3 linked regions of the Lytechinus pictus genome follow. The protein of the gene in region 3 purifies or fractionates together with the protein of the main gene of each other region. This does not show direct contact. Links are inferred from orthologs where the notes say so. Each region holds a gene or a part of one and is shown on either strand. Other genes may lie near its edges.

Region 1 (7,960 bases), on a different chromosome or scaffold from region 3:
CTGCCTGTGGGGAATCTACAGGTTGGACTATGGCATGCCAATGCTGTACAGAGCACACACTTTAAAAAATGATTAAAATATCACTTTTGTGACCAAAATTACTAATTTCCATACAGTTGCTATTTATTTTTAATTAGTAACTTGAGAATGAATTTTGTATTCACTAGAGCGCTCAAAACCTTGAATTTTTGGGCATATTTTTGTGGAAAATAATATGGCAAGAAAATTTTCATTTTTTTATCTCTATTTTTAATTAAGAAAAAAATAATTAAAAGAATCAAATTTACTTAAGGGCCAAGTTCTATGACGAATAGGTGTAATGGAAACTGTCAGTGTAAAAAAATCAAGCATTTGTCCCAAGGAAAAAGAGAAAATAAGCCAAACATTGCCATCCTTATTTTGCCACACATGGAGATATAACTGAGAACAAGGTTATATCATAACCTTGTTCATTGAATGAGTGGCCACTAATAGAACTTCAGAATGTCCCACCATAATCCTGAATTACATGTAATGGAGAGAAAAAAGAAAACACAGCTAGGTTAATATCTGAATAAAATCATGATTGAGATAATTATTCATGAAACATGTATTCTTGACAATCGATTGATATATTACTAAAATGACTAGAATAAAGTAATCAAATCTACTGCAGAGTTTGTTTTAATGATCATCAATTTATTATTTTCCTTGGAATTCCGGGACTTTCCTCCACCTCCCCACTGTCCCTGGGCCGAGAGTGCCCGCAGTCCTGCATAACGTTACAAGCGCACTTTGCACAATCACAGCTGCACAGCTCAGAATACGCACAGTGCGCGAAAATGACACAAAATTGCACTTGTCTTCATAAATTTGTGGTTAATTCTTGCAGCTATAGACAGCACATCTATCTCTGCCACCCGTAATTAAGAAGAAAAGTGATTGTTAGACTTAGACTCTGGAACAAATATGAAATATTACTGGAAGTTAGCAAAATGTTGGCTGCGGGCGTCCATCATATTTTGAAACACTATGGAAATCGTACACGTTATTGTTGGCTGCTTGCATTCGCATGGTCGCATCCGGACAATAGCGGCGCTATCGCTCCCTTTTTGATCCCATGATCCTTTGCGTGAATCTATTTGCGATAAAGGTATAGTCTCTATGCCAGCTACATAGGATGGGGGGTCGGGTGTCCAGACACTTTATATTTTTGAAGCCTTCTTTTTGGTCTTTGGTTTACACTAAGAATATGAATTCAATCTTTGTAGTCATCTTCTATTTTGTTCTTTAGAATATTTCCTAACATTTTGTACTAAAAATTGCTGAAACTTCGCTTGTAATTTTTCCAAACGACTTTCTAAAATTGATCCTCCGGACACACAACAACTGGGTATACATCTCATGCCCCCCCAAAAAGGAGTTAATATTCATATCAAAATGTAACCCAGGGAGCACGGGCGGGAGCCCAGGGGCTTACCGTGTATTTGACCATACTCACGGGACAAGGGTGATTTATGGTCTAAATATTTATAAACGAAAAGTTCTCTCCTTCTACCAGTCTCGATCGGCCATTTTGTTACGATTCATAACAAAAATGGCCGATCGAGACGGGGGTAGGAGAGAACTTTTCGTTTTTTGAGGTTCCAGTCTGTGCCCAGATGTCAGGAAACTGCCACTCGTTAGACCTTCATCAGTAGAGGCGCACGGTCAATATTAGAGACTGTCTCCAATGTGGGAGATTATCTCCAATATCAGAGACTTTTGTAAAGAATTTGGGTATCCAATTTCAGAGACAGTCTCCAGTTTTGGATACCAATTTCCTTTGTTTACATTTGCTGCAAAAGGATTACCTTGGCGGCAAATAAAAATGTGATAAGCAGATTCCTCATGAAAAATTACCCCTTTTCACCGTCTACTTTAAAAATTCACCATCTACTTTTGTTTTGATAAGGATTTTTGTTGTCAATCACACACAAAACGAATGGGCTTCTGACCTCAGTGAGACAAAATTTTGGGTGGAAAAAATCATGCTTTTGTTGGTGTTGTTTCTTTTGTCCTTTTGCAAATTAAGCAAGTCTCCAATGTGGGAGATTGTCTCCCCTATTGGAGAGAGTCTCCCATATTGGCCGTGCGCCTCTACTGTTCATCCATATAATCGTGGTAAGTGCATAATTTCTGTTTTCACAATTCATTTGGAGAAATATTTAGACCATAAATCACCCTTGTCCCGTGAGTATGGTCAAATACGCGGAAAGCCCCTGGGCTCCCGCCCACTGCGCGGGCGGGAGCTCCCTGGGTTAATCAAAATGGTACGCACCTTAAACAGTTAAAAGTAAAAACCAAGATAACAATGGCGAGCAGCGACCATTCATTTTAATTTCATGCACACTTCTCTCTGTCACTCTGACCAAGTTCAGCATGTTTCATGTCCGGGGTTTCATGTTATTGATGAATAGTGTAGCTCACCGACTAGTAGACAGTCATGACAGTAAACTTGCTGTTTGTGGAAATTGTGCTGTGCGTCGCAATCAATGAAACATTACGAAACAAAAAAGACCTCGACAATAAAACATTTTCAAACTTAGCATTAAAAACCCAATATTCTACAGGCATAGCCCCTTTCCACATCTTCAGTTGTATTTATGTTAGGAAAAATATCAGGGAAAATATGATGGGTTTTTAACTCACCTAAAATTGCACAAACCTTGTCAAGTATCTCCCTCATCCTCCGCCATTATGCCAACAACACGATTGTAACTAGCGCGCGCGCCTAGTCTAGCTAGCGATCGAGAATATAGCAGCGCTAGCGCAGCATGCATAGCAGCAGTGCTCGGGTATGATCAGCTGACTAGCTAGCTGACCGTCACGGCGCGCCCGTATATATTCATCTTTATTGTGATATGCCTTGAACGTGGAATACAGAATACTGTAACTCATATAGTATGGCTACAAAATTTAACAAAAATTGATAGGGCTCAATTTGATCGAATATGGCAGACCTTTTTTCATGCATTGAAAATTAAAAAAATAATCTTCTTTCTCAAATTTGGATGTATGCAGTTACTGGCCCTCACTGGCGGCCCTGGCGGCCGGGGATGAGGTGGTGCACCTGTCACTGCATGAGCAATGCTGTCCAATATCCCCATATCCAAAGTAAAAGTGAATTTATATGTGAAATATAGGCCTACAGTGACAAGATATTGAAATATCAGTATCTTGTCACTGTGAGCTTTGTATCCCTGACAAAGACGTGAGGTTTGTGTCGAAATATATATATATATATAATATAAATGTGTGAAGTTATACATGTACAACAGCTTTGGCAACTAAGTTGTTTAAATATTTTGTGAAAGAAATGGATGAAGAGAACAATTATATATATATATAATATATATATATATAAAATGTATATATATATATATATATATATATATATAGATGCATATATATATATATATATATCTCCCAGGACCAAAATCCAGTTGAAACCATGCATTAGAGCAAAACCAATTTGAAACCAGTTGCCAATTGGTTCCAGTTAAAATCAATTGGGCAACTGGAACCATGCAGTTGGCAATTCGTTTCAATTGGTTCCAGTTGAATCCAACTAGGCAACTGCCTCTCAGTTGGTTCAAGTTGTTCCAATTTTCCTATCAAAACCAGCTGAATCCAATTGGAGGCAACTGGTTTCAATCCAGTAGAAACCAATTGGAGGCAACTGGTTCCAGTTGAAACCAATTGGTTTCAACAGGAACCAGTTGGAACTTTCAGTTGGAATGAACTTAATTAATTACAAATTAATTAGCATTTGTACTAACTATTGCTTATGCCAACACAGAAGCATTGTTATATGTCTATTAATACCAATGTAAAGGTCATTAGACTCTCGTACATATATACATGTATTTATATGGAGGAGCTTCGAATATATGTATTTGTATTTGATGTAATTTGGTAACAGTTAGTGGTGTACTAATTATCTTTTAATCTGTTAAAATCCTAATCTATAATAATTTTAAACATGGTTTTCACTGCTAACTATTCTAAACATTTATCTTAAACAAATGAGGCACTAATTGAGAATGAATAGATACATTGTGGCGCAGATAATCTACTATAGATTGAAGAGCGCCAACTTAACTCCAACACCAACCAACCATTGTAAATGATGATGAACATTAATCTGTACACATTGGCAGATAATATGCAAATCAACTGGTTTCAATTGGATCCAGTTGGGTAACTGGAAAAATTTCCAATTGGAAACCAATTGGAAGTCATTTCCAGTTACCCAACTGGATCCAGTTAGGATTTCCAGTTACCCTACTACTGGTTCCAGTTAGGATTCCCAGTTTATCCAACTGGTTCCCATTAGAAGTCAGCAGTAGTACCCAACTTTCCAGTTAGAAGTCATTTCCAGTTACCAGGGGAGCGTTTCATGAAAGGACTTGTCGGACGTTTTATCCGACAAGTCCTGTTTTATCCGACAGTTGCTATAGTAACAGTGCTTCTCAACCAATCAGAATCCAGGAAAGTTGTCAGATCTGACAACTTGTCGGACAAAAATATTGATGAAACGCCCCCGTGGTTTCTGTTTCTGTTTCTGTCTGTGGTAACTCCCGTAGGAACTCGGCAGGACAGCATTGTTTGCTGGTAAACGCCAAGCTGGTATATAACCAATTACCTTGGAAACATTTTACGTCTAGGTTAATCAGTCATAGTGGCTGACGTAATAGACGACAGATATCACTCTTGGGCCTTTTTATCAAAGTGGAGACAATGGCAGAGTTAGGATTCGAACTCACAATCTTGCGATTATGATTCCAATGCTCTAACCACTGGACCACACGACCCGTGTTTCCAGTTAGGATTTCCAGTTACTCAATATATATAATATATATATATATATGGAAAAACAGAAAACATTCAGGGAAAATACTATTGGGGCATAATCACAATTATAAATATTGTCCCTTAAAAGACGTTTAGCTGGCTTCATCCAAGGGGGGGGGGGCGAAGTAGGCGTAGAAGGCGTGCATGTCTCGACCTCCCGGGACATTGCGAAAAAGGGGAAGAAATTCACCAAAAACAGAATTAAGATAAGAGGACGAAGGAAAGTAAGTGAAACCAGGAAAGTGGAATGACTGGATAATAATAATAATTATTATTATTATCATTATTGATAAAATTAATAATGATAATGATAGCAAACTTTCATGGGTCATTGTATAAAACAGAGAGTTTCGCTTGCGCTTCGCGCTCGCGCTGTCTTCAGTGAGATAAAAATTTGCTCAAGCTGGGGTTCGAAATATATTTTTACAACATATATCCCGTTTTCTGAAGTCGATACGCACAAATTATTATCCTCGCGATTTGAGCTTTCATTACATGTATTTGTTTCAGCGAGATATATATTTAGGCTTTATTTTTTCCACGAGGGAGCGTAGCGACCGAGTGGTTTGTCACAACTTTTAAATCTGAAGTTGTAAAACTTACTTTTTGGGTCATGGCGCTGCATCCTTAAAAGATGTTGAGAGCGCTAATCGCGAGCTCACAAACTTTTGGACATTTCATGTAATACAAAGGCGTAGGCTGGGGGTGCACTCTGGTGAGGCAGAGTAGTTCCGACATTGGCAAAACGAAGTTTGTACCCCTTCTGCTTTCATCAGCTGATTTTCCGAACTTTGTTCCACCTCCCAAAGATGTGCACCCCCAAAGGCGGATCCAGGGGGGCGAGGGGCCCGGGCACCCCTATTGGCGGAGCAAAAAAAATGAAAAAAGAGGGAAAGAAAGAAAAAAAAAGAAAAAGAAGGGGAAAGAAAGGAGGATAAAGAGGAAAAAATAAGAGGGAGACGAATGAATAAAAATAAGGTCAGGGAAGACTTGGAAAATGTCACTATATTAAATTTTCGCTCGCGCTTCGCGCTCGCATAGCCTGTTGATGAGATACACATCTTGCTCAATAGGCTGATATGTAGCTTAAAATATCAATTTTTGAAGTCAATATACACAACATATTTCAGCTCGGATATCGAGCTTTCATTATTTGGTTTGATTTACAAATTGATTTTTTTAAAGTGCTCTGTAATGTCAGTTTTATGTTGTTAATATCATTAGCATCTTTTTGCGCTGTGCGCTCGCATTACTAGTATTTGATTTGCCAAGTAGGCCTACATACAAAATGAGTCGTCAATGTAAGTGCCCCCCCCCCCCCCCGGGACTCCTCACAACCCACCAAAATCTTGTTTCACCTTCCAATGAGGAGAAAATTAAAATATTTAATATATCATTTAATTGAATACAAAAGAAATAGTGAGTGAGTGACGTCATCAGTCCCCTCATTTGCATACCGACCAGTATGTGCATATATAACTGTTTTTAGAAATTTAGCAAAACTTGAAAATGTCATAACTTTCCTATTTTACATCCGATTTTGATGAAATTTTCAGTATTATGCTTCTTGGATTTTTCTCTATTTGTTCAAATCAACTTTTTGTTGGGGTGGACTTGTCCTTCAAGGGTAGGGTTTTACACGCCAATACTTGTTAAGGGGTGCATTTTCAGTATATGGAAAATATGTGTTTAGGGTGCTTTTCGAGACCCCATGGTCGCGCAAGGTATCCACTCGTGAATGGAAGTGCCCCCCCCCCCCCGGGAGTAAAGACTAGACTATAATTAAAGGAAAAGAGGAAAACAAGAAGAAAAGAAAAAAATGATACAGAGAAGAAAAGGAAGAAAAAGAAAAGAAAGACAAAGAAAGAATGAAAGATCAACAGAAAAGAAAACAAAAGGAGAAAAAATGGAAAAAGAATGAGAAGGAAAGAAAGGAAATAAAATAGAAAAAAAATGGATGAAGGGAAAGAAGCTTTTCATCCTCTCAAAGAAGGCCCCAAATTCAGCCCCAAAAGCAGTGGCAAAAAATGTCATTTTTTACTGGCTGCCAACACACCACAAGACAGAAAAAGAAGCGCGGTGTCTTTGTCAGAGCATGGACCTATTAAATAGGTCCATGGTCACTATGGACCTACTGTGTGTAGTAGGTCCATGCTATGGTCCATGGTCAGAGCCAGTCACAGTACATAGTGAATCTAGTCTCACTACTTCAGACTCTCTGCATTGTGCACTATGCGAATTACGAAAACCATTTAAGGGTCTGTGCCTGCAGACTAACAGACGTAAAGCTCACGTAGCTAGCCTGCCTACGCTGCATGATTATGGGCAGCCTGAAAGACCAGAATAAATTGTAATGAATTTGTGCGCTTGATATATATAGAGTCTTTCATTTTGAGATTCTCAACATTTTCTGCATGTATATCTTTATTTTTTGTTTTTTTTCTTCTAAATTTCATTTGCACATGGCTGTTTGCAGAATTTTTTTGCGGGAGGAGCCTCGGCAGGATCGATGCATACAAATTTTATAAGAAATTTGAAAAATGATAGCGCGAAACGACTAAGCTTGCATTTAATTGGGGCGATCTTGCATTTAAAATTGCATACTTTGCATGCCTGATACTTTGGGTGAAAATTTTCATTAAAAGAATTGCCCGAAGAACTGCTTGCAATGCTTACAACTTTTTACAAGCATTATGCTTTTTTAGCAATCGGGTAAAAAAAAAATCACCAACATTTTATTTACCATTTAGCGCAGGGGCGGATCCAGCCTTCGCCAATAGGGGGGGGGGCGGAATTTTTTTTCAGCAATATTTTCCCAGATCGGCCGCTCGAAGATGATTTTTGGTTTCTTTGAAGGGGTAATCCTAATAGTCACTTTTTAGCTCTATTCTTATTAATCAACATGAATATATAATATCATAATCCTTATTTATATAATGCGAGCGAGATATATTTTGACATTTCTACGTAAAGAATGGAAAATTTCAATAAATTTTTACAATCGTGAACAAGATAGCAATACAACCGCGTAGCCAGGATTTCATTTTGGAGGGGGCAGTAAATGCACGCGAAGCGTGCCAGCACT
Region 2 (6,978 bases), on a different chromosome or scaffold from region 3:
CAAAATACCATGTACTGTGGCTCAGTTGGGGCTTTGAATCTTTGATTCTTAAAAACTTTTTGGCCCACATAAGGATCAAACAAAACAATTTCTTACAGATACATGAAAACAGAACTACTCAAAATATGAAACAATCAACAATACTTGAGACTGGTGAATGTTAAAAATTACGATTTCTGTTTCAAACACACCGTACACGGTTTTCTCAATGGCAGAAAGCGGTCTCCAGATGTACATGACACATAAAGGATATCAGGATCATTTCATTTCATATCAGAAATATCTTTCCCCAACACTGAGACAGCCATAGTCAAAGTGCACAAATCTGTAGTACATGTAGATAACATGTCATGGAGTAGGCTACATGTGTCCTGCCTATCACCAGTTAGAAAATTGTCACTTTTAATAAGTAAAAGGGTACAGGCAAGTGTTCAAATGTATTACCTGAGTAACTATGGAAGACTTGACTGCCATTCTGGCATAGGACGGCCCGCGTCCACTTGGGCCTCCCTTTGGCCCGCCGCCCATGGCGGCGCTCTCCATGGGGGGAAAAGCTTCATCGTAGGTGGGAGGTTCGTAGGCTTCTTCTTCGATGTTGAAGCCATTGGGGTCAACGGCTGGAGCCGGGGCACTGCCGCCAGGCAAATATTGAGGATCCGTACTCATGGTCTAGGGTCGTGATCAAAGTCAGACAGCACCACTATAGTTGAAGAAAGAAAAAAAAAGTTGGAAACAAACAATGAATGTGTATCTTCTAGCATTGTATAAGCATTCATCGTAAAAGTCCACAGGGGGCCTGAAGGGTCTATATTGTAGAACTTTGCAGAGAACAATGATTTCAAGATTTTTTTTTTTTTTAATCTTTTTTTTCACCCTTTCGGTTTTATAGTACATGTAATTAATGTTGATTATATTTTTTTGTCATTCGTGTTAAAATGTGTATTTCCCCTTTTCATGCTCAATGATTATGTGGTACTCAGTTTTTATTACATCATACATTTCACAATATCACCTATTCAGTTTTTGTAAAGGTGGCAGCACTAACAAGGCTTTGCCTTTCTAGTTGCCTCCTCATTCATTTATAAATTATGAATACTCTTTTTTTCAAACATTTTCCAGATTTTATCATTGCATTATGTTTACGATTTTCCCACGTAATGAATGTTAACTTTGTATGTACCTTGTTTTGTTGTTTTTTAGGATGAATGGAATAAATGCTATCATTTTTATCAATCAAATATCAAAAGTGGCCACCATAATGGTAGATCTATGTCTGCTTTAATTACGAAGACCTTACTGTGCAATCATGCAATCTAATCTGAAAAAAAGGACCACAACGAAGATCAACACCGATAGGCAGATATGTATATGGATGTGTGGCAGTAAGGTGGTCGGGGGTATCAGTATAGTAGTTTGAGCAGACGATATAAATAGCAGACGACATAAATAGCAGACGACACCACTCCATACGCGAGTCACCTGACCCACCGGCCGGAATACGGACACAATATAGATCTGCACTCAGTACCACTGCACTACACACAACACACAATCCAAGAAGCCATTCTAGACTCAACCCCCGGACGGTACGGACTTCGCTTTACGAGTGAGTGTGCCTGAGAGACAGAGTGATAAGGTAGGACCATTTATCAATAGCTTATATATGAGTGTGTGACTGTTTGTTTAAGGGCCCCTCCACAATAGCAGTGTATTATTATTGATTGGACAAAGACTCTTCATCTGAGTGGAATACCAAGCTTGTTTTTGTCAATTTCTCAGGAATTAAAGATTTTCTACAAGAATCGTTTGACACACATCTTTTCATTTATTTACAATGATAAAATTATATTTTACCACAAATCAGGTTTACATACAAGGGTAACAAGTTACACAAAGTGAAAGTACATTTAACTTAGGTGTCGTGGCTGCAGAATTAATATTTTAGAAGTTTTATTCATTTTTAAATTTTAATGTCTTTCTTTATATTTTTCGGGGCAACAAACTTTATAGGTTTATATGGTGGTGGCCGAAACGGGCCACCACCAAAAAAAAATAATGTGGAGCCTTGGTTTTGGCTTTCCGTTCAACTTTAATATTCTGTTGCGGTGTGCCATCATTGTATGACAGTAGCATTTTTAGATCGAGATACCAGCGAAACCCCGGCCCTCGAATATACTTCACAATTTTGCCTACGTTCTTACCGTTAATTCAAATTCGGTAGCTATTACTTGAATTATGTTTTAAGCAAACAATTAAAAAAAATTGTGCAAGGTCAGACTTGACATTATGTAGCATGCCATTGGCCCAGCATGGCTCTGCCTCTGGCAATCATTTGATGAAACATTTCAAGCTTCAATCCGAGTTCTGTGGCCCACCATTAGTTTTTTCAGGTGCAATTTGCCTATATTACTACTATTAGTACTTTTCTCTAAATTTTACACACACTACCCTTCCTTTATCTTTTCGTGACTTCTCGCTCACTTTGGCATAGGCCTACACTTTATTAATCAATTCATGACTCACTCACCATGCTCACTCTTGACTCAACTTTTCACTCTTGCACGACTCAGTCTCAGTCACTTAAGTTAAACTTAAGGATCTATTTAATATTATTCGCTCCTTTAATAAAAAAAAAACTCTTAATTTACTATTAATGAAAGAAGTTTGGAGAAAATATCTGACAAACGACAATGTTCCTTAACTGATTGACTAATTAAAGGCATGCATGAAAATGTGTCAACGTGTCAACTCGGCTTTACAAATACAAGTCGTTTTCTGAACAGTCGATGTGCTGGCGCGGAGCCGCCGACCGTGACTGAGTCTGAGGATGCGCAAGGCACCCGGCCGATTTGACTCGCGACAACACGTAAATATGACAAAATCTGGAGGATAAAAACACAGAAAAATACGTGATAGCTTACACTGAAGTGGTCACTGTTTGCCGGGTTATCCGTCCTAGTGTTTACTTCTTCGTTTTGTTTCCGCCACTTTCTGTTATTTTCAGTTTTCACTGAAAATATAAAAAGTTTCTTTCCCCGAATGAAACAAGACGTCAAATCCTGTGCACGTACAAGGAAAGCAACTGCCTACGTAGCTAGCGGAAGTGGGAAGGAAATGACCTTTCTGCCAATTTCGTGTATCAAGATGGTTCATTGGCCAATAGTTGACACATTGCTAAATTTTATCCAATGAGATCGTGTCTTAGGAAATGACGAAATGCACCTGTCATACCGAACCAATTTGTGATTAAATATACTAGATAATCAGCGCGGATTCTGCGAGATCTATGTCAAGTTCAAAGTTATTAAGAAAACATAGCTTATTGAGAAATCAATATGTTTTTAACTTATGATATCTGATTTCTCGGAGTAAATCTTGATGATCGAGAAAATTCAAAACATATTGATATATTAGTACTGTATAGGCCATATATGCAGCTATTTGCAGCAATTATATCACAAATTCTAGTCTATTTCAAAAGAATAATTCTCAGAATAATAAAATGTGTGTGTTGAAAATAAATGATAAAACAATTTAAGTCAATGCATTTAACAATGTTGGAATGAATCTAAAATGTATTATGTTTTACTTCCAAAAGGGTATTTCATTTTGAAAAAGGGCACATTTCATTTTGAAAAAAAAGGGTATTTTTTCTACGGGGATTTTTTTTTTTAAAGGACAAGTCCACCCCGACAAAAAGTTGATTTGAATAAAAAGAGAAAAATCCAACAAGAATAACACTGAAAATTTCATCAAAATCGGATGTAAAATAAGAAAGTTATGACATTTTAAAGTTTCGCTTAATTTTGCAAAACAGTTATATGCACATCCCGGTCGGTATGCAAATGAGGAGACTGGTGATGTCATCCACTCACTATTTCTTTTGTATTTTATTATATGAAATATGAAATATTCTAATTTTCTCCTCATTGTCAAGGGAAACAACGATTGATTCCTCCCTGAACATGTGGAATTAGCATTGTTTAATACTATATGATTTAGTCAACTTGGTCCTTATATTGTCAAATCTGTAAAAAATGAAATATTGTATAATTCAAACAATAAAAAACAAAAGAAATAGTGAGTGGTGGACATCATCTTCTGACTCATTCGCATGATACTGAGTTGTACATATTACTGTTTTGTGAAAAATAAGCGAAACTTTAAAATGTCATAACTTTCTTATTTTACATCCGATTTTGATGAAATTTTCAGTGTTATGCTAGTTTGATTTTTCTCTATTTATTCAAATCAACATTTTTCCGGGGTGGACTTGACCTTTAAGGGGAGCAATTGCCCCTGCCCCCTCGGTTCCGCCGCCCCTGCTTCGTTGTTTAAAATGTTAAACATCTGCATATAAGTGTAAAGTGCATGTAGTAAACAGCATTGCATAAAATTATAAACAACGGGTTTTTTTTCTGTAAATGAATAAAGCAATAATAAGATTTGTGTCCGCCCTCGGTAAAGGACAAACGAACCAAGCAATTACCATATGTTGAAATGTTGAATAGCATCATGGATCCACGGGGCAACCGGTAAATATCTTGATATGTTCGTTGCCCTAATTGGTCACCTTAGTCTGATGTTTAATTTGTAGGCATTTATGGTCAAATACACTATGACCAATCAGAGGAAAATATTATCCGACATTCTAAAGAGAGGTTTATGAAACATAGTTGATGCGGCGGTTATAGCTATTATTTATTTCACTTTTGCCTTTCCTAGGCAAGCCGGACTTGTACAAAAATATCCTACATTTATTATTCTTTTTGTGTACTATAATGTGAATATTATTATCATTATTATTTTTATATTTTTTATTTTATTTTATTTATCTTTTATTATTATTGTTTTTTTTTGGGGGGGTGGCTTTTTCAGTGCCGAATCATTATTTCATATCATTTGGTTTATTCCATTTCCAACTCCTAAAATTTGTTCTTTGAGTACTTGAAATTCCTTCATATGGGAGTGAAAAACTTTTTTTTTCAAGATTTTTGTGGAGACAAAAGAAGAAGAAGATGAAGAAGAAGAAGAAGAAGAAGAAGATTAGGCAATATACGATCGAAGATCGAATACTCTTTGAAAATGTCTTTTTATCGAAAAGCACACGGCCAACACATCGTCAGACATAGATTATTTCCCATTACCCCAGTTATGTATGATAATGATCAATGAGTTCAGTCTATACTTCATATTTTTCCGTCAGTCTTTCATGGAAGATTTCATTTCCAAATCAATTTAAAAAAACAACCACAAATCAATATAGATATTTACAAACTTTGAGGTTTAAGGGAGAAAAAACGGCATCAGGAAAAAACCCCTTTAATTAACACAAGAAAGAAGGAAAAAAATACTTTACTAAAGCATAAGAACATTTAACTGCAAAACGCCAATGTTTGACTTGTATACAATAACGTACTTCAATGTCACGGAAAAGGAAACAACCACTAATAGCAAAAACATCAAATTTTAAATGAAATATACACACAAACAAGAGGGGGGGGGGGTAATAAATAGAAAGTCAAAAGATGATCATTATATTCTTTAGAAGAATTATTGTGGTGAAGTTGTACGAGGTTGAATCTAATAAAATCTACAAAATAGGACCAGTATAACGCAGTTTGTTTATCTCTATCATCCACCAATTACATTTCATGACGAGATAAACATTATTGAGACAGCGTATGTGAATTAATAATATAGGGTATTTATATTGCGCACATATCCACCTTGTTAGGTGCTCAAGGCGCTCCTATATTACCCGGCTAAGCTAGGCGTTCATAGCGCACACAGCTTTTTAAGGAATTACTTCCTACCGGTACCCATTTACCTCACCTGGGTTGAGTGCAGCACATTGTGGATCAGTTTCTTGCCGAAGGAAATTACGCCATGGCTGGGATTCGAACCCACGACCCTCTGTTTCAAAGTCCGAAGACTAATCCACTGGGCCACAACGCTCCACATTGAATTGAATTGAATCATTGCATCACAGATATAGGCCTATTTGAAATTATCAATGTATCACATGTATTGTGAGAGTTCTTATACATTTGAATAGTACTTGATTTAGTAATGATTTTAATTATTCTGTAATTGTATAATAGCCCTCGGTTGCCAAAATCTGTTATATGAACTTAAAGAAATGCATTGTATAATATTTCATACTTTAAGCTATACGTAAAAACGCTGTATAAGATTATATAAAACGCTGTTTATTTTATGAATCTTACAATATATGCCTATAGTTGTTTAACAGTTTAAACAACCGTGTAGTTTTTCAGTAATTTATTTATTTTTCATTTTTAGATAATAAACATAACAACAAACACATACATTCATAATATTCAAAACAGAATAAACGTCATAATAGATACTTCAGTTACAAATGATATTATACAAATTTGATCGATAAGTCGACGGTAGTTTCAAACACACTTTGATAATGAAATAATTGAAAATTACAGGTCGTATGAAAATGAAAATAAAAATGAGGGACTTATTAAAAAGCATAGCTTGTATTGGTAAGCCCCTCTGGAAACAGTATTAATTTATTGAAGATTAAATATAAATAGTACGTTTAAGATTTTAATAACTTGTTTAAAAATCATAAACAACCAACAATGTAGGTTCATAATTATAGTTAACCGCGGCGTATACTGTATAAAAATCTCATACAGCGTTTTTATACTCAATATGTTTTGATTTTTTTTCTTGATATGTTATTCATATGTTCATTCGTTACTTAGATACACATCCTTTTCATGATTACAAAAACTGCTCGGAATTTTTTGTCATGTCTTCCCAATGATTATAGGAAACTTTTTGCATTTTAAGAGGAAATTGAAAGAATATCTTTCACTTGAGAGTTAAAGAGATGCAAATAATATGTTATACGGTTGATTTAGCCTGAATACTGACCACGTTCTTTTCTCTTCTCTACCAAGTATTATTATTTATTTTACATAGTTTGATTGAAGT
Region 3 (7,105 bases):
TTATTACCTTTTTTGGGGGCTAAATTTTTTTTTCGGTCCCCCTTTGATAACCTTTTTTTGTCAAAAATTTTGGTGCCCTCCCCTAAATTTTTTTGATTGCCGCCGCTAATAGTGCCCTCCCCCCTTTGGAAAATCCTGGACCCTCCCTTGCCTAGATATAGATGTTTAAAGAATTTATTATTTTGAAAGTCAGTGCCCCCGCCCCCCATGCTTTAGTTATCATGGCATAAAACTTATGTCATATCTAATCCTTATATCAGCAAGAGGTCAGAGCATACTATCCGTCACCAAACGACTGCATTTGAGCCATTTTTTTTCTCTTTTCTCTTCTTTCTATTTTTTGTTGTTATTTAATCATTGTTTATTTGGATAAGCTCGGATCCGAGACTAACTGGGACGGTGAACGCACTTTCGTTCGAGTTGTGTATTTGGGTAACAATAGGCCGAGGCGAGAAAGGACACGCCCACAATCCCTCGTTCAGTGCCGAGCTCTGTGCATACGTGTCGACGAAATTTCAAAATGAAATTTGTACACAAATCTGTCACAATTCGGACCCACTTTAGCCTCAGATTAACAGATATTTAGATCTCTTTGGAACACTAAAAGTCATTCACTTGGGTTTTTTAATATGCTGATTCAGGTGAGGTACTTTTCAATGCCTTTAAACATAGATTTAAAAAATTAGATTTTCGTTTTGGGATCCCTACTTAAGTCTTAACGTCTTGAGTAAGCATAAGACTCTTAATAAGACATTCATAGTCATAGATCTCTAAAACTAAAAGTACTTGCAGTTTTTTTAGGACCAAAACAAAAATATAATCATTGAATCAAATAAAAATCATGTTTATCTGTAGACGTAGTACAAATGTTGAACATTAATGTTATAAAAAAATTAGGGTAGGCCTAAACGGAATTTGTTTACTTAACAGAAGCTTGTGTTTTGCCAAAAATTGGACGCAGTTTCCAAATCTTAGAAGCGTAGAGTTGTGCGCCGCGATCAATATCGGCGATATAAATCGCACACTTGACTCCATAATAATTGCTTACATGTAATTGCTGATAAAACAATTTATTTTAGCTGCGCAAATGCCGATTTTAATTGTTATTACTATCAATAATTTGATATAGAAATCGGTAAAGGAAATTTACTTACCAATACAATCAGTAGAGGCGCACGGCCAATATGGGAGACTCTCCAATAGGGGAGACAATCTCCCACATTGGAGACTTGCTTTGCAAAAGGACAAAAGAAACAACACCAACAAAAGCATGATTTATTTCCACCCAAAATTTTGTCTCACTGAGGTCAGAAGCCCATTTGTTTTGTGTGTGATTGACAACAAAAATCCTTATCAAAACAAAAGTAGACGGTGAATATTTAAAGAATATTTAAAGTAGACGGTGAAAAGGGGTAATTTTTCATGAGGAATCTGCTTATCACATTTTTATTTGCCGCCAAGGTAATCCTTTTGCAGCAAATGTAAACAAAGGAAATTGGACTCCAAAACTGGAGACTGTCTCTGAAATTGGATACCCAAATTCTTTACAAAAGTCTCTGATATTGGAGATAATCTCCCACATTGGAGACAGTCTCCAATATTGGCCGTGCGCCTCTACTGACAATAGACCTCTTTCGGCTCTGAACACTGGACGTTTTCGCTTAGACAGCTGGAAGCCGTCTGATCGAGGAGTTTATTAACTTTTTTTTTTTTTTTCTTAGGGAAATCCATCTTTGTTTACATGTCTCTCTTATGCATATATGGGAGGGGATTCAAGACTCCAATGATGAAGAAGTATGTGTCACTTTAAAAAAAAAAGACATCATCATGGAGTCCTCAAGACAAGATTTTACCCCTGGATTTTTTTTGAGCAGCAACTTGGATCTACTGTACACTATATGTGCAGTTCAATAGCAGGTATGTTCATGTATCTCATGCATGCAAGTCCCCTGCCAGTGCATGGCCTGTAGTTATGGGGAGAGAGTTGAAGTCATTTTCGTCCGATATTTGGAACCGTCCATTTGGGGACTTTACTCTACCTGCTATTGAACTGCACACACAGTATATTGGGCCCCAAATTAAAATGCTTTACACCCAGCTGAGCTATTATTTTCAGATCATCGACTTTGTGGAATACCCGGTATGTCAACACTACAGGATTTTTTTTTTTTTTGGGGGGGGGGGCTTCTATGGTTAGCAGAAAAACTGGTATGAAAGATATCTCAATACACTGAACAGATTATTTTACAAAAAAAAGAGAAATATTCTGCATGTCATCACAGTCATATTAAAAGGAAAACTTCTTGATTTATGACCATGCCTAAATGGACTGACTGGCCTTTACCTGTAAACGAATCGGACAATCTCAGCCAGTGAAACCATTACTCTCAGCTAATCACATGACCAGTCACATGGCAGCAGTACTGTGTGTGCGCGTGCACACACAATATTGCACACACTTAACAAGCTAAACGTGCATGGCCGGGCGGCTAGCTATAGGATGCATATCGTCTCGATCCCTCGCACACAAGGCCATGAGTCATGAGTTCCGACTTCTGATCATACACATCAGTCAAAATCAACATGGGGAAAGAATGGAAATAAGGTAGGGATGCTTGGCCTTTGACCTGTCCCCTCGACCATTACACTAGTTGGATGGATTGCTTTTTAAAAACAGTTTCATGACTTTAACTGCGATGACAGATGACACCTCAAATCTTATCAAACCATGGGGGGGGGGGGGTTATTTACCGGGCTCGAGGTATGCAAAGTGGAACCCGACCCGTAATGTTCCGAGCCGGACAATGTCAACTCGTTTGGTAAACAATCCGAGCTACAGGACTAGAAATCAATTCTGACACTTGATCCCAAAGGAAAGGTAAAAAATGAGTATTTCCATTGGATTTGCCATTATCAATACTACAAAATCCTGCTAGTTTACAAAAATATGGTACATTTATTCACAAGATACAAGACTTTGAAACTCCTTTTTTAAGGCCACATCAAAATTATAGTAGTAACAAAATGTAAACTAAATAGGTTAATTGTAGCATTTTAGTCTCCTTAATTTGTTACCAAAACCAATAAATTTGGATAACGGGACCATATGTCAGAAATGCGTTGAACTTTGATTTTTCCCTCAAAACCATGACTATTTTGGGCTGTGTGAATGTGAAATTTGTGAAAAGGGCGAAATTTTTTGCTCTGTGTGCAGTCACCCTAATAATATCATATTTCGCCCTAGACAGGAATAACCATCGTTTCTGGGGATCTATTTAACAATTTCTGACATTTTACTATCATCCTCATTCGCCGACGGTTAGCCAGGAGGCTCCTGGAGATTAATGTAATATCACTGACGTGCTTAATCTCCACGGAGCCAGGGATGGGATGCCATTGCTCTACACAAATCAAGTATTTTGGCAACAATAAAGTTGCTCCAAAATACCGGTTTTCTTTAGGGTTTTGAACCCAAACTTATGTAAATGGGCTACAATACAAATTGGACCCTTTTATCACTAAAGGGTCATATTTCTAAGCAATATTAAACATTAAAAGATATATGGAAAATATTAAAAGTAGAGGAGCGTTTACTCACAGTCTGTTGTCGCCATCTGCCATCTGTGTTATTGTAGCCTAGCTACAAGACTTGTATAGAGGGTGACAATATCATGAGCAGTGTTAACTTAGATTAACAAATATCATGAATCTTACCATAAAAATACTTGCATCGGCTGATAAGATTCATGATATTCAAATTTGAATTGACAGCTTATTTCATTTTTTTCTCACCTGCGTCTCAGAGTGAGACTATAAGCGCCGTTTTTCCGACGGCGGCGTCAACATTGCGCAACACTGCCTTCCATTACAATAGAAAGATTTCAAGGTACATGAAAACATTGGTAAATTCCCCCCCCTCCCAAAAAAAAAAATAAAACACCCAAAATATTGTGGGTTAAAGTATGAGTTAGGGTGGTCCTTCAGAGAAGGTAATACAGTAGTTATCATTTCAGATAGATTTCATGTTTATCAGAAATTTTTGTCTAAATGCACTTTCCACAATCTTTTTTTTGTTCGACAGACAAGACCGTGATTGTTTGGGATTTGACACGTAATGACGTCAGCTATGGTGTACCCAAGAGGAGTTTGAAAGGGCATAATCACTTTGTATCCGATGTCGTCACGTCTTCTGATGGACAGTTTGCCTTGACCGGATCATGGGATAAGACACTCCGATTGTGGGATATTGGAACGTAAGTTTGAATGTAAAACCAGATATTTTTCAAACTGGGCGGATTCCAAGAACATTTGATAAGTAAACAATACTCTTTTATCAATTCCCAAGGATAATATGTGACCTACCACCCCAAAACCACCAATAAGTCGCCAGGTAAGGTTCTCTGTAAAAAGCCAAAATAGTAAATTGGTCTTCAAAACCAAAAATTATAAAAACAGCTTATCTGAAAGAGCAATTCTTCTTCATACCGTGAAAATTTGAAGTCATTAAGTTGAATAAAAGATACAAGAGTTTCTTGGACACTACTTTTACAGACTGCTTGGAAGTTTCCCTGAGATTATGCTCATTTGATTTTTCTCATTTTTCTGGGGTGGACTTGACCTTTGAATATATGCCGGTTGTGTGAACAATCTGAAAACGAGTTTGAACAAAAAATGTCTGTCCCATATGTGCTTATCTGTGTTGGTGATCCTCAGCATGGTAATTTTTCCACCTTTGATGTCATGATTTTAATGCTTAGATGTATGTAAATAAAACGGATCTAGATCTACCAAGATATGGTACAATACTTCAATTAATTTTGATAATGATATGAAAGACTTTCTCATGAGATAATTCTTTCCTGCAACTGTTGTAATACCTCACATTCTCACTGACATTTTCATTTAAGAATATTGCTTATGAAACTTGAGAGGGGGGGGGGGGAGAGAGACTGTAGCTGTTTGTCTGTGATCAACCAAAATCTTATGTACATTTGAAACCCCTTACAGTGGCAAGACCACCCGTACGTTTAATGGTCACACCAAGGATGTCCTGAGTGTTGCCTTCTCTGCTGACAATCGTCAGATTGTATCCGGTTCTAGGGATCGCACCATCAAGCTCTGGAATACCCTTGGAGTGTGCAAGTACACCATCCAGGTAAGTCCAGCTTTCAAATAATCTGGTGGGTGTGTCATAAACACTTACGAGAGTAAATAATCAGCATTTTAGCATGACAGAAAGTCCCACTGAACTCTTTGTGAAACATGCCCCAGTTTGTAGTTAGCTCATGTCACAAAAGACTTCTAATATCCATAGATATCCATGGAGAAATCATTTTATGCACTTACATTATCAGCACTCGCAAAGTAACCGAAGTACCTCATAAATGTAGAGTTTTTTTTAAATTACCATGGAATGTACTGGATGAACAAGGTTACTCCAATCATTACAACCATCTTTCAGCTACATGTACGAGCACTAGAGACAAGCAATTCTAGTCACCCACATTATACGATCAATGAGGCTGTATGTGTGCAATCTACTTTGCATCAATCAAATTTGCTTTGTCAGGCATCCTATAAGACCACGGTCAGATTGTGTATGCATATCTGCTTTTAGAGGCGTTAGTTGCTGGGAATGATAAACCCTAAAAGGCCCGGGGGGGCCTACATTTTTCACGGTAAATCTGCCGCGTGAAATTTTTAAACCGCCCTGCTCGCTGACTTTTTACTTTCATATCTCGCACAACTTTTGAGACCAAATTTGCGGTGCCCGGGTACGCAGTTACAAAATTACGCAACATTATGTAAGTGCATGTCAGACCAAAAACTGCTCAAAAACATGAATTTATGTACAAATCCAATGCAAATTGTGTATTTAGCCAAAATTCATAAATGTATCATTTCTTTGTTTACTGATTAATAGTTTGTCTTGTTTATGGTCAGAATTAAGTCTGCAACAATTTCCATTAAAAAAACACTAACAAAAAGTCAAAAAACAAAGAAATACATAAGAAATTTTAAAAACAATAAAATAAGAAAAAAATTGCGATACCAATTTTTTTTTAAACATACGATCGAGATCCTACAAAGAATCTGAATAAAAACTTAGCAGTTTTGAGGCCGTATGATAATTGATTAGAGCAAATGTTTTATTTCATGCATGAATGAGCATAATTAATTCATTAAATGAGAATTACAGCCTTGTAGATTTTATTGCACACTACCACTTAGCAAATTTTTGCGGTGCTCGCGCGTTCGAAGGCCCCCTGGCTGTGAGAGGGTCCAAATAACCTGGCTCTTTTAGGGTTAAATGACTCTTGATTGTGCCAATGGTGTGCTAGGCAATTTTATAGTAAAAACCGCTAGATACATGTAATTGTTGAATTTCCCCTAACATTGTACAGTAAGTTTTTAAAAAATGATGCTAATAAGAATGTATGATAGTTGAGCTCACTGTTTGATTTTGGTTTTACAGGACGACTGCCACTCCAATTGGGTATCATGCGTCAGGTTCTCACCGAATGCTTCGAACCCTATCATTGTCTCTGGAGGCTGGGACAGGGTCGTCAAGGTAAGACTAACCAATCTCACTCTTTACCTTATGATTAAGTCTTTTTAGAACTGTTTTTAGGAAGAATATCCTTTTCAGGGTCATTTTCTTTCAGGATCATGTGGCACATCATTGTTGGTAAAAACACCATGATGGTAAGATGATTGGATTCTGTTCCAACTCTAAGATATTACCATAACTAGAATTTATGTTTGAGGATGTGGAAGGATGAAAATGTCATTCTTTGAAAAAGTGTCACTGCTGACCATATTCAGTAGTGATTTTGAGTAAATTTGAACAACTGGAGGGAAAGTGATGGTTGTTCTATGTAGGCTGAATGAACCAAAAGAATTGGATCATGTGGGTGGTGCCCATTGAGGCGTTCCTAAAGCTACTGTTCCTGTGTAGTCTTGGGGCTGTAATGGGCATAGAGAGAATGGTGTCTGTCTGCATGCTACTACTTTATGTCCTGGGGTCCTCGGGAGTATCGTGTAGTAGTAGCGCGTGATACATTCACCTACATAATTCTCATAAAAAATTATCTATGGGAAATTA

The links. Proteins that work in one complex are often made in the same cells at the same time.
Region 1: the proteins of small ribosomal subunit protein RACK1-like (region 3) and probable helicase with zinc finger domain purify together in Homo sapiens (affinity purification with mass spectrometry; 3 studies listed by BioGRID and IntAct, counting the BioPlex papers as one, with this or other methods). This does not show direct contact. The link is inferred for Lytechinus pictus from reciprocal best matches to the Homo sapiens genes RACK1 and HELZ.
Region 2: the proteins of small ribosomal subunit protein RACK1-like (region 3) and vigilin-like purify together in Homo sapiens (affinity purification with mass spectrometry; 3 studies listed by BioGRID and IntAct, with this or other methods). This does not show direct contact. The link is inferred for Lytechinus pictus from reciprocal best matches to the Homo sapiens genes RACK1 and HDLBP.

What each region holds. Positions count from the first base shown.
Region 1 is NC_087254.1:29,654,555-29,662,514, forward strand, and holds the start of probable helicase with zinc finger domain, read right to left. Parts: upstream 3,108-7,960; 5' UTR 2,671-3,107; intron 1-2,670. UniProt on the Homo sapiens protein: May act as a helicase that plays a role in RNA metabolism in multiple tissues and organs within the developing embryo.
Region 2 is NC_087258.1:23,558,894-23,565,871, reverse strand, and holds the start of vigilin-like, read right to left. Parts: upstream 3,108-6,978; 5' UTR 2,922-3,107; intron 701-2,921; 5' UTR 667-700; coding exon 445-666; intron 1-444. UniProt on the Homo sapiens protein: Appears to play a role in cell sterol metabolism. It may function to protect cells from over-accumulation of cholesterol.
Region 3 is NC_087262.1:2,288,660-2,295,764, reverse strand, and holds the start of small ribosomal subunit protein RACK1-like, read left to right. Parts: upstream 1-4,038; 5' UTR 4,039-4,047; coding exon 4,048-4,253; intron 4,254-5,007; coding exon 5,008-5,155; intron 5,156-6,475; coding exon 6,476-6,571; intron 6,572-6,916; exon of another isoform or gene 6,917-7,012; intron 7,013-7,105. UniProt on the Homo sapiens protein: Scaffolding protein involved in the recruitment, assembly and/or regulation of a variety of signaling molecules. Interacts with a wide variety of proteins and plays a role in many cellular processes.